2 linked regions of the Canis lupus familiaris genome follow. The protein of the gene in region 2 purifies or fractionates together with the protein of the main gene of each other region. This does not show direct contact. Links are inferred from orthologs where the notes say so. Each region holds a gene or a part of one and is shown on either strand. Other genes may lie near its edges.

What was found.
Region 1: the proteins of KIF23 (region 2) and ARF6 purify together in Homo sapiens (affinity purification with western blotting; 3 studies listed by BioGRID and IntAct, with this or other methods). This does not show direct contact. The link is inferred for Canis lupus familiaris from reciprocal best matches to the Homo sapiens genes KIF23 and ARF6.

Annotation. Positions count from the first base shown.
Region 1 is NC_049229.1:26,666,926-26,673,758, forward strand, and holds ARF6 (ADP-ribosylation factor 6), read left to right. Parts: upstream 1-2,510; 5' UTR 2,511-2,672; exon of another isoform or gene 2,673-2,772; 5' UTR 2,773-3,258; coding exon 3,259-3,786; 3' UTR 3,787-6,555; downstream 6,556-6,833. Other genes in the region: uncharacterized protein LOC119876490, read right to left, coding at 1,863-2,474. UniProt on the Homo sapiens protein: GTP-binding protein involved in protein trafficking that regulates endocytic recycling and cytoskeleton remodeling. GTP-bound form plays an important role in the transport of multiple palmitoylated proteins form the Golgi to the plasma membrane.
Region 2 is NC_049251.1:33,742,676-33,749,200, forward strand, and holds the start of KIF23 (kinesin-like protein KIF23), read left to right. Parts: upstream 1-2,220; 5' UTR 2,221-2,262; coding exon 2,263-2,273; intron 2,274-4,204; coding exon 4,205-4,274; intron 4,275-5,354; coding exon 5,355-5,483; intron 5,484-6,525.

The DNA of each region.
Region 1 (6,833 bases), on a different chromosome or scaffold from region 2:
AAATTTATCAATTTTGAATGAACTTTCAAGAAATCAAAAAAATGATCAGTGGTATGATTTAGTAGTTGCCTAAACTGTTACTTTTTACAGATATTTTGGTTTTATTGAAATTCACTTACTTCTCAACTGCTATGACTATATACAAAGTTAAATTTTTTCACTATCTGTATTTTAAGTTTCTGGCAATTATTTTGTTTTATGATTATTACTTAAAATAATTTATTGTATGATGAAACACTCTAGATATCCAATATTCTAACCCCAGACAAAATTAGTATGTCCCTTTCCTTTTCCGTTTGATCTTATTTGTAATATAAGTGGCATTCATTCATTCAAATAATGATGTAACTTACATTGACAAGTCTCTGCCTCTATGAAGCCTGCATTCTGGGGGAATATAAACAGAGGATGGCTTTCAAAAATAAACTTTTTAGACCTAACACAGTATCAGTGCCAGGTAGACGCTGTTAGGTGCTTCCAGCTGCTTCTGTTTTTCATTATATTACTCCTTCCACTGAAAAATAAATCCAAGCCCAGCAGATCAATCTCCATCTACTTGGAAAAACTGGAATCTGCTCTGAGAAAACTATTATGTTGGTTATGTTGGAATGCAACAAAATATAATACCTCTATATGCCACATATAAAAAAAATTCCTACCTCAAATACAATAATAAGTACTATGGCACTTTATAAACCACTTTGAGATTCCAAACCACTGTGTGAGGTAGTCAGGGAGATACCATCATTAGGGGGCTAAGAGGAGGAGCTGCACATTTATGATTTAATCTCAGCTCTGTGACCCTCAAAAAACACCTTAACCTCTCTATTGATATGTAAAATGTTAATGCTCAAAATTACTTCATATGATTGCTGTGAGGATTAAAAATAGATTTAAAATATTTAGTACAGTGTTTGCCATTACAAACAACAAATGGTGACTATTTTTTTTATGAGTGATATTATCCTTCGTCTGATTTTACAGATAAAGAAAATGAAGATTAGGAAGGTTGAGGCCTAAGGATTCACAGCCATAAAACGGACAGGCAACACTTTGAACCCTAATCTTCTCACTCCAAAATCCTTCCTTCAGTTTTATGACAGTGGAAAGTAAGATGGATCAAGGCAGATGGAAAGTAAACTTGGATCAGTCAGAATATTAACAACTCCAGTAAGTTTATTTCAGCTGAAGCTTATAAGGTTATCACCTGACCCATCTACCATTATCAAATATTCTTATATTATGAAACAAGTATGTTATCATATGCTTCTATAGCATCTTCCTTAAAAAATAACAAACCCTATTTCCTGTTTTTCCTCCCCTTGGTTCCTTTATTTTAGGCTTCGCCTTACTTTAAGTCTAACTTGATCTCTAACTATTTGCTACAAAAAAGTTTCCGAAAGTCTTCCACAAACATTTTGTTATTTACTCTGAAACGGAGTACACAGAGCAAGGTCGGCACTACACTCGGTTTACACATGAGATAACAAACTTAGCAAGGTTAAATGCCTTAGATCCAGGTCACAAAAGTAGTCAGGCTTTCTGACTCTAAACCCTAGTGCTAAGATTATTATTGTCTGGGATTTTTAAAAAAATACTTTATTTATTTGTTCGTTCGAGAGAGAGAGAAAGAGAGAGAGAGAGAGAGAGAGAGGCAGAGACCCAGGCAGAGGGAGAAGCAGGCTCCACGCAGGGAGCGCAATGCGGGACTCGATCCCGGGTCTCCAGGGTCACGCCCTGGGCTGAAGGCAGGCGCTAAAGCGCTGGGCCGCCCAGGGATCCCCTCGTCTAGGATTCTTAAAGAAAAGCTAGGTGGTTAAGTTACTGCTCAACACACTAACTTAAGTATGAAAAGTTATCACCTTAAAAAGTTGAAAACGCAGCAAGGGACTGGAACTCTGGTTAACACTGTCATTTTTAAGTAACAGGGTCTGGTCCCGAAGAGATGTGTAAGACAGGGCTCGAACACCGAAAAGCGGGGTTTCCTGGCAAACCCAAGCCTGGTAGAAGCGCCGCACTGCTTGGCCGACTCCACACCAAACGCGGGCCTCCCACGTGTCTTTCAGGAAATGCACAGAACACGCGGGATGAGGGAGGCCAAGGACGGGCTGGGAGACGTACAAACAGCATATAGGGCTTTCCCGGGTGACTGAGGACGCGCGGAGGCTGGGGCGGGCCCAAGGGAACTCGCTGAGCACCTGGCGGGCACCGACGTCCGGAAGCAGCCTGGGGGAGGCTTTCACCGCGGGAGAGGGCTGGCCGCGGGCCCCGCCCTCGGGAGCTCCCCAGTGGATTTGCCTGCTCTGGTTCGAGAGGGCTGGGGGAGGCGAGAGCGCGCCACAGGGACGCAGAAAGTCCGCGTACAGCGCCAGGCGGGCACGGGTCAGAGTCCGAGTTTCGCGGGTCTGGGGCCTGACCGCAGCCGCGAGGCCTCCAGGCCGCCGTAGCCCCGCCCCCTCGCGCGTGGCGCCCATGACGCTGGGCGCGCGGGCCGCGCTCCTTACAGAGCTCGCTCTCACCGAACGGTCGGCCTTGCTGCGCCTGCGTGATCGGGAGGGGAAGTGAGGCGGTTTCTTCGGCGCCTTTTCCGGCGGCGGCGGCGGCGGCAGCGGCAGAGCTGGGAGGAGGCGGTGGAGGCCAGAGGGAGCCCGCGCTCAGGGCGGCGGCTTGAGGTAACCTCGCGAACTGAGCTGGAAGGACGAGTCACCTGGGCCTCCGCTCCCTTCTGGCCTGCCGGCAGTAACTCCCTTCTTCCTCTCTGTGTCTCTGCAGGCGGCGCACCGGATCCCGGCGAGGATCAATGACCTGACGAGGCGCCGGAGCCGCGCTGACTCTCGGGTGGCCTGGGTCGGTGGTGAGCCCGGTGCTCGTGGACCGGCGGGTGGGCCGGAGGGCTTCGACCTCCCGCGGCCGAGTGAAGAGAAGGCGGAGGAGCGGGAACCGCGGCGGCGCTAGCGCGGCGCTTGCGGGGGGAAGGGCAGTTCCGGGCCGGGCCGCGCCTCAGCAGGGCGGCGGCTCTCCCGGCGCAGACTCAGGGCCCCGGCGGCGGCGGCGGCTGGAGGAATCAAGTTGTGCGGTCGGTGATGCCCGAGTGAGTGGCGAGCCTGGGCCTCTGCCCCGAGGAGGCAACTCCCACGCAGGCCGCACGGGCGCCCTCGCGGCCGGGAGGCTTCGTTTCGGTTTCGCGGCGGCTGCGGCGTAGTTGGCTGAGGGGACCCGGGACACCTGAATGCCCCCGGCCCCGGCTCCTCCGACGCGATGGGGAAGGTGCTATCCAAGATCTTCGGGAACAAGGAAATGCGGATCCTCATGTTGGGCCTGGACGCGGCCGGCAAGACAACAATCCTGTACAAGTTGAAGCTGGGCCAGTCGGTGACCACCATTCCCACAGTGGGTTTCAACGTGGAGACCGTGACTTACAAAAACGTCAAGTTCAACGTATGGGATGTGGGCGGCCAGGACAAGATCCGGCCGCTCTGGCGGCATTACTACACCGGGACCCAGGGTCTGATCTTCGTAGTGGACTGCGCCGACCGCGACCGCATCGACGAGGCCCGCCAGGAGCTGCACCGCATTATCAATGACCGGGAGATGAGGGACGCCATAATCCTCATCTTCGCCAACAAACAGGACCTGCCTGATGCCATGAAACCCCACGAGATCCAGGAGAAACTGGGCCTGACCCGGATTCGGGACAGGAACTGGTATGTGCAGCCCTCCTGTGCCACCTCAGGGGATGGACTCTATGAGGGGCTCACATGGTTAACCTCTAACTACAAATCCTAATGAGCATTCTCCACCTATCCCCCGGAAGGAGAGAAATCAGAAACCCATTCATAGGATTATCGCCACCATCACCTCTTTCAATTGCCACTTTCTCTTCTTTTGAATTTGAACTCTGGAGTTACTGTTCTACGGTTGGGGAGGGGGGGGGGGTTTAGGGGTTTCCTTTTTTGTTTCTCTTTCTCCCCCCCCCCCCCCTTTTTTTTTGCTTTGCATTAGGATGCTCCGATCTGACATTTGACATGACCACAAAGTGCTAGATGCTCTTACTGACTTCCAGCAAATGGGATGGGGGAAATATAGCAGTTTTTGGTAAAGTCCTTTATAATAATGGTTTGATTTTTTTATTTCGAGAGAATCTTTTTTGCAATGTATGCTTTTTTCCTTTTTGCCCAGTTTCCTTATCACTTGCTGTAGATGGCTTATTTTGCATTCATGCAGACTATGTTGCAAGTCTGTTTCATCTAGTAAACTGAAAATTATTGCTTAATCAAACTGCCGTTTGTCTTTTATATTTAAGGCCTTTACTCCTCCCTTATGAGTTTTACCTTTAACTTAGTAATTTCAAATGTGACCTTTTATATCTAAGACCAGTATAGTAAACTTAGCCTACAGTGGCAAATAATGAGTAATATCATTGTAATATGTTCCAGTTGCACATCAGTATGTTAAACAGGTAATGTAAGAAGTTCTTTGAAATGTCAGCTATTAAGTTCTGAAACATACATCATGCATGAGTAGGGCTAAAACGCAAGTTCCTTATTACATAGCTAACTTACACTGCATAAAAAGATGAAAGTGTAACCCGTCAACAGATTTTTTTTCACTGCAAAAGTTAGCAACTTTGCTGTGTTTCCCTCTTTTTTAACTTTAAAAGTAGACTCTTTCCAGAAAATGGAGCAATAATGGTGTAGGCCACACACAGATGAGATATCTGTAGATATTTTCAGTGACATTGGGGCAAAACTGGAATATATACTTTTACCACATTTCAAATGTCTAAGACCAATACTTTAAAAGTTACTAGAATGTTTACTTTGTTCATTAATAAAAGCGTTTAACAATTCAAATTATACACATTTTCTACCTAGTTGAAAGAATACACATTCCTGTTTTCACATTAGAGCAACTGATTAAGCTGAAGATAGAAGTTTTTTTATAATTGAGTGATCCACATCTCCATTAATTAGAACACTGGAAAAGATGTTTTATAAAAAAGGTATTTAATTCTGTTTGATTGTAGGATTAACTCATACAAATAGATCTCCTGTTGGTTCATTAATACACTATCTCCTTTAAGGAAGGAAATGTGATGAATGAATGATGTGTAGACTTGAGAAATGACAATTAAAGGGGAAGTAGGATGAAGAAAGAACCTACAGATGACAATGAATGTAAACTTATTTTTCTTCAAGGGTAAGCAGTGTGCTCACTGGTGATATCCAGATCCTAGCAAGATTACTTGCTTAGCTTGTTAGGACCCGTAACTAGCTTATCGAGACCACTATGATGATACCTTGAACCAAATGTTAATGCTTGATACAGAATTGTGAGCAGCATCTGGTTCTCATATAGCCTTAAGGATTAATTTTAGAGATCCTCAAGGAATTAAACGTAGGGAATTTAAGAAATGTAGACTGCAAAGGCAGTATACAGGAAAAGGTGGAGTGGGTTTTGTTCAGGAGGGTGTCTGAAAACTAAAATGGAGCGGGATATCATGGTACATAGTTGGACAGTATTGGTCCTTCGTGCTTTGGCCATATTGTATAATGGAGCTTTTACCAAAGATGTATGAGAAGCATAAGGTATAAAAAGTTAACTATTGAAAGTAAAACTCTGACACATTTTACTTAAAGCAGATGAGAAAAGGTGCTATGTTGTAGGCTCCTGATGGTGCAGAGGGATTTTTTAATACAAAATGCAACTAAGGTATAGAGTTCTCAGTTTTGCTTTAGAAGTATTTCTAGAAATGAAGCTGACAGACCCATCCGAGAACATTTTAGTTGCTTTTAAATTTCCCAAAGCTCCACCATAAATCTAATTCTTAGTGTTTTAAATGATTGCATTTTAAGGTACATAAACATGGGTTATACAAATATCAATGCTATAGTAACATCTTTAGACAAGACAAGCACAAAGGTATAAATGCCTAAACTGGAGGAAACTTGAAACCCTCATCTTAATTCCTAAATGTAGTATTTCTAACTTGTGACAGATTGATAGGCAGCCATTTTTTTGTGTTTTAAAATAACTGGGAGCATAGTTAAAATTTTATACATCAAGTGATTGCTATTGAATGTTGCAGGTGAGATGTGGTTATTTTTAGTTTATTTGAAATGTCTAACTGAAGGGGGGTGGGGGGAGCAAATATTTGAAATTTGGAAAACCCTAAACTTTTGGTAAGAATTTGTAATATTCATTTACATTTTCTTTAAGGATATACAAGGTTGGTAATTGATGTAGTTAAATTGAACCATAACCATTGGTGGTCATGGGGCAGGTAATTGTAGCCTGCAGAAAAAGTTATAATCTAGGAATTTAAAAAATAAGATCCTGAAGTTTTTGTTTAATTGCATCAATTTCTGTGTTTATGTGAATTTATAAACTGCAGTAAGTTTTGAATGAGGTTAATCTTGTCTAATATAAGTAAATGAGTCTGTAGACTTGTGATCTCCCCAAACTAAAAAAGTACAGTACTTGGAATTGTGTTCTTTATGGTTGTAGTGTTGGTAAAGCACTAATATGCAGAAAATAAAGGAATTACACAGTGCAGTTTCTCACGTTATGTTACTCGTTTGGACTAGATTAAGTGGGACATGTGTGTTGGGCCGTTATTCTCCAGGGATGTATGGTATAAAGTGACTCGATTTGGGAGTCACCAAGCTTTTATAAGAACAAAAAAGAATTTGGTTCTTACAGTCCTGGGTGTATAAGAAGTCTTTGTACTGATTTAGTTCCACCAAGCTTAATCTGATTTTATGATAACTTAGGACACAAAAGCAGTTGAAAATAATTTTTAAAAACTAAGGTTCTAAATAGTTTCTATCGTA
Region 2 (6,525 bases):
GCTTGCCAGCAGAGGGACTGCTCCATGAGCCTGGGGCACGGAGAGGTAATGTGGTTGGAGGGGTGCTGGGGGCCATGACAAGTGATGGGCTTGGAGAGGAAGAGCCTCAGAGCCCTGTGGAGGGCGTCTAGCCATGGGGAGCTACTGCAGTGTTAGAAGCAGGGGAGTGACATGACCAGATCTGTGGTTTATGAGTAGGTTCGGAGGGTAGCAGCAGGGAAGCCTGTTGGATTCCTATTGCAGTCATCCATACTGCAAGATGCTGAGTAGCCAAGGGGATGGAGAGAAATGGATTGAGAGGTTTGAAGGCTATTTAATAGGTAGAACTTTCAAGATGTGGTGAGTGGATGGTTGGAAAAGAAAGAGAGGCAAAAGTCCAAGATGGTACCTGGGACCCTAGGCTTGGGTGGCTTGGGTAGATGGTGATACCATCCACTGTGGGGTAGCAGGTTCAGGGGAAGCAATTAGGGTGCGGTAGGTATGAGGTGCCTGTGGGACACCCACACGGAGAATCCAGAAGGCAATTGGACATATAGGTCTGAAGTGGACAAGGACAAATTTGAATGGTATGTGAAGCGAGGAGAGTGACTGGGGGTGCCTGAGGAGAGGCCTCAGCTAGTGACCAGGTCAAAACCCTAAGCTACAACATTTAAGGGACAAAATACAAAACAACACACACACACACAACCCCCCCCCCCGCAAAAAAAAAAAAAAAAAAAAAAAAAAAACCTCACAAATGAGTTCTGAGAAAGAGGGGCTTAGGGAGCTTAGGAGGAAAAAAAGCTGAAGGCATAGGAAAAGAGGAATCAGTATTTTTTGTGCTGTTGAGAGGTCAAGTAAGGTAGGGTGGGGGGTGATGGTCTTGGTGAGAAGAGTTCCAAAGGAGAGACCAAGGCTACCTGCAGGGTAAAAGAGGTAAGTAGCCAGCAGCTACACCCAGTTCCTAAATAACACAAATCCCAACCTGCCATTTAACAACAAACTTCTGATGGTTCAAAGGCCTATACATAAAAAAAAAAAAACAAACGAACAAACAAACACACGCAAAAAAACCATAAAAGCATCAGGAAAGACCATCCTTGTGTGTAACAATATGGGCCAGGGATATTAAATTATGTCCATTTCACCGGTGTCCAGCGAGGAGATGGGCCTAGAGCCCCGTGAGAACACAGATGTAGACACAGATTTGAGAGCGATGGGCCAAAGTGGGGTAGAATCTGTCCATTTTAGGAAAGAGCTGCTCTGGCCATTGCTCTTCAAGGGCAAGGCCCAAACTCCATCCGTTCATCTCTGTATGTGGCCACACAAAAATTCAGCGGGGTCATTGAAAAGATCAACTTGGCTTGACTCGCGAATCGGGGGGCATCCCATCCAGCAAGCAGAGAGGTGCTCCCAGGACCCTAAGTGGAAGGGTCTTCATAGGAGGGAGGGTGGGGCCAGGGAGGGGTCAGTGACACAAGAGAAAGGACCTGGGGTGGAAGGCGGTGGTGGGGGGGGGGTCCTACTCTGGGCATCATCTCCTCTTCCTCTTCCTTTGGTGCGGGCGGGGAGAGGAGGGGTCCCCGTGACAGGTGCCCTCATGGGTGCCCTGGCTGACCCGTTCTGACCACGCTTCTGGGGGAGGGGGGGCTGGGGCTCCATCTTGGGCGTGGGGTTTCCTTTATCACAGCGCCGGGGATCAGGCATTGGATGGAACAGCGCGTGTCTGCGGAAGGGCCGGGGGCAGCGGCGAGGGAGATCCGGGGAGGGTGGAGGCACAGGGCGAGCCCGCGTGCGGGGCGGGGTGGAGGCCAGGTAGGGGGCCCGCGGTGCAGGGCTCGGCTCCCGGGCGGGAACGCTGCGGGCTGGGGGGTCCCCCGAGGCCCTGCCCTTCCAGCCGGCTTCCTGTGCCGCAGGGAAAAACCCCGCAGCCGCCCGGCGGGGAACGTGGGAGGGGGGGCGGGGTCTCAGCGCCTCCGAGGTCCGCCCCGCAGCAGCACCTCCCGCCCGCGCCCGGCGGTCGCCTAGGAGACCAGCCCCGCTTCCGGCAGAGCCGGCACGTCCTCCGAGGCCACGCCCCTTTCCTCCGAGGCCACGCCCCTTTCCCCGCGGGCGGGCGCTGATTGGCCCGTTTGAAATGCGCCGCGCGCGAGCTCACCTGGGCTCCCGGAGCGCCGCGCCTGGGCCGCCGGGTCCCGCTTCCCGCGGTCCGCCGCCCCCGCCGCCCCCGCCGCCCCCGCCGCCGCCGCCCCCGCCGCCCCGCAGAGCCCGGCGCCCGCCGCCATGAAGCCAGCGTGAGTACCGGCCGCGTCCCCTCGGTCTGCACCGGCCGCCGGCCCCGGAGGGGGAGCCCCCCGCGTGGGCGCGGCGCCCGGGCCGCGGCGGCCCCTCCCCGGGGGCTCTGTGCCGGGTGGGGCCCCGCGACGGGGGCGCCGCGGAGGTGCGGGCGCGGGGGCGGGGGCGGGGGCGCGGGGGGCCCTGGCGCCCTCCAGGTCGAGGCAGGCCGAGCCCCGGGAGCGCGCCGGGCGCCGGGCCGCGTGACAGCCCCGCCCCGCAGGCCCCGCAGGCCCGCAGGCCGCGGCCCCACCGCCCGGGAAGCAGCGCCCGCTGCGGCAGAGCAGCTGGTTATCCTAGGGGCCCGAGTAAAGACCTTCTAGCTTAAAAAAAATATATATATATACACACATATATATATATTATATATATACACACACACATATATATACACACACGTATATGTATACATGTATATATGTATATATATGGGATATGTATATATACATATATATGTGTATGTATATATATTGAGTTTATGTATAATATACATGTATATATGTATGTGTATATATATTGAGTTTATATAGAGTATATATGTATTATTTATGTATATATGTATATGTATATATGGGATATATATATGCATATATGTGTATATGTATATATATGGGATATGTATGTGTCTATATATGTGTATGTGTATATATACATACTGAGTTTATATATATTGAGTTTATGTATAATATGTATATATACACATATGTATATATGGGATATGTATGTATATATACATGTATGTGTATGTGTACATATATATTGAGTTTACATATGTATAATATATGTACATGTATGTATGTGTATATATATTGAGTTTATATAGAGTATATATATGTATTGTATATGCATATATGGGATATGTATATGCATATATATGTATATGTGTATATATAGGGGATATGTATGTATATATACATATATATGTGTATGTGTATATATATTGAGTTTATATATATCGAGCTTATGTATAATACATATATGTATATATGGGATATGTATATGCATATATATGTAAATATGTATATATGGGATATGTATATATACATATATATGTGTATGTGCATATGTATATATATATTGAGTTTAGGAGACCCACTATAATATTTTGTATTGGAAACGCTAATTGGCTTGCTTGTTTGGTCTCGAAACGTGTCGTGAAAATACTTGATTTTCTATGCAGTCTCTGCGGCGCTTAATTTTACTGTTAAATGTTCATCTGCACTATTGATTTCTTAACCGGTCGGGGCTGGCGGTGTGGAGGAAAGCCGACAGCCTGATTGATGAAGCCCCAAAATAGCTTCTGATTGTAAGAGGGCAAGAAATGGCAGTGGGAAGACCCAGTTGTGTTCGAGGACAAAGGATGATGGCTTAGAGAACTCCGATAATTTGTTCCTTGAATGTGTAGATGTACATCTTGCTGAAAGAATGGATTTCTTTTTTTTTTTTTAATCATTTCGTGAAGTTGATCACCTGTCAGCCTGCCTTAGCGATGGATGTTGGGGCAGTGTGTGCGCTGGTGTGCCTGTAGGTCTTGAGGATAAACCAGGTCTCAGTTATCTATGGATTTTTCGAATCTGTAGTGCTTCTGTAAAATTGTCGTCCAAGAAAATATGCAAGCTAGTTTAAATATAGAAAATTATCTAGTACCGAAGACGTCTCCTGAACCCAATTTGCCATACTTTTGCATTAGGTGAGCCACATACATTCTTTTTTTTTTCCCCCACAAACATTCTTCTAATGCAGCTTATTTTTAACGTTATTTGGGGTGTCATGTTTTAGAACTGCTCAGGGATAACTTTATAAACCCAAGGAAGACTGTCTCTGAATTATAGGTGAGGTTTTTGTATGTTATTTTGAACTGATTTTTTTTTTTTTTTTAACCTGTGACCAGGAGGACTAAGACGCCCAGGAAACTTCTAGTGAAGAAAGGATCCCAAACAAGTCTTAAAGACCCAGTGGGGGTAAGGTCTCCCTGTGAATTTGTGTGTGTGTGTGTGTGTGTTTTCTTCTGTCCTCTTCTGTCTTCTGTGTATGCTTGGAAGGGATGGAGCTGTGGAAGCAGAGTCAGAGAACATTAGTTAAATGGGTAAGTCTGGTCCCAGCTTTAAAGTTTTGTTTCTATATAGGATTCATTAGTAAAATGAAGTGTTTGGGTATGTCAGTTGCATAACTCCTATAACTAACTATAACTTGAAAAGTTAGATAATGAAAGATATTCTTCAGCTGTCCCGGAGAATTCTTCTACTCTCTTGGAAGGCAGGGAAATTTCTGCTTGGATGAGCATCCTCTCCCATCTTTGGGGCTTTTAAATAGTGACTGATGGTATGCTCCGTAAAGACACTGGTGTAGAACAGCTTAATTCAGTCTAGTAACTCATCATAACTGCATGTACTTCATGAGTTTCAGGCTTTGGGACTTTCTTTTAAAGACAAATGGCAAATAAAAGAAGGTTGTTTTGCCCTGGGATATTTTTCTCTCTCCTTCACTGGCACCAGAATGTGTCTCTTGTTCTAGGTGGGGGGAAACTGATGCTTTGCATTTTCAGCTGAATAGTTCTTCCTCGACCCTATCACTGATTAAGAAGATGTGTTTCAGATGATGTGCTTACTCATTTGTATATTATACTTATTTGTATATATGTTACATTTGTTGGTATATAGTGTTAAGCTGTCAAGTTTTATTTGATATCCAATATCAACAAATTCTAACAGCTTTTCAGATAATTCTCATTGTGTGATATGTTATCAATTTTAGAGATTTTTATATTAGTGGTAATATAAATTTACTCAATTTGTGCCAGTATAATAGTGATTTGATGCTTTTGTCATCCAAATTTATTTTCATTGTAAGTGTATTTAAAGCTCCTCATACCTGATAGATCTGTTTATAGCTGACAATGTCTGGTAGCAAGTTTTGGTTTTCATAGCTCTAAGTTCATATAAATCTCTTATGCTGAGAGACCAAATGTTGGATGAGTGAATGAGAAGCTTAAATGCAAAGTAGTCAACCTTCATTCTGGAAGCACATTCCTGTAATTTCAGGTGTACTGTAGGGTGCGCCCACTGAGCCTTCCTGATCAAGAGTGCTGCATAGAAGTGATCAATAATACAACCGTTCAGCTTCATACTCCTGAGGGTTACAGGCTCAACCGAAATGGAGATTATAAGGAGGTAATTCCCATTGGAACCAAGCTGTTTTTACTTGAGATGTTCTCTCCTGAAATGGCTTTTCCATTTTTTTTTTAACATTTAACACAATTCACATTTCTACTTTTTTTTGAAAAATTTGTTTACTTCCCTCTAACCTCTATATATAAAGTGTGGATAGGCTTATGTTTGGTATTCTTTGAGTTAGGGGATTGCTTATATGAGGCAGTTTCTTGTACTGGATATTTATTGTTTTTTAGAGCATAGGTTTGGGATCTTGAATGATTGTGCTAGGTCGCTATACATACAGACACACACACAATTTCATGTGCAGATTAAAATAGCAATAGGCGTTTTGTATTTGTTTTGACCTCCTTTGAAGTGTTGTTTAATAAAATCTTGAGCAAAGTGAGTTTAGTTCAGTTCAAACATTGCACTAAAGCTGCAGGGCAGAAGGAGATTTTCAAAAACGAGTAGGACACAATCCTTGCCTTTATGGGGCTTTCAGCTGAGTTGGGGGCACCAGATAGAAAGGGTAACCTTTATATAGATAAAATAAATCAGTGTGCTGAAAGAGCTGGACTATGGGAGTGCAGAAGGAAGCATGGATTCAGGCTGTTGTCTCTCTGTTGAGCTGCCTTTCACCCTCATGCACCCTGCTCCTGTGAGACTGTCAGAAGCCCACAGTGGCCTCTGGATTGCTCACATTGGATGGACACCTCTTGTCATAATCCATTTGTCAGCAGGACCATCCTTCCTGAAGCCCTCTTCCGTCTCCCCATCCAGGTCTCTATGTTCTCAGCTGTAACTGGCCACCCTCTTCAGGTTCTTCTTCCTTTTCTAACCTCTCAGTGCTGGGGTTGGCTACACCTAGGGCTCTTTTCTCTACCCTTTCCCATGGCTTTAAATGTTGCTTATAGTTCTGGAGGTTTTTTTTTTTTTTTGTTTTGTTTTTTTTTTTAAATTTTAATCTCCAGCCTAAACCTTATGTCTGCTCTAAGCTGGAACATCCACTGTTTGCATGTCATGTAAGCATCTCAAATTTTATGTGTCCACAAGAACTCTT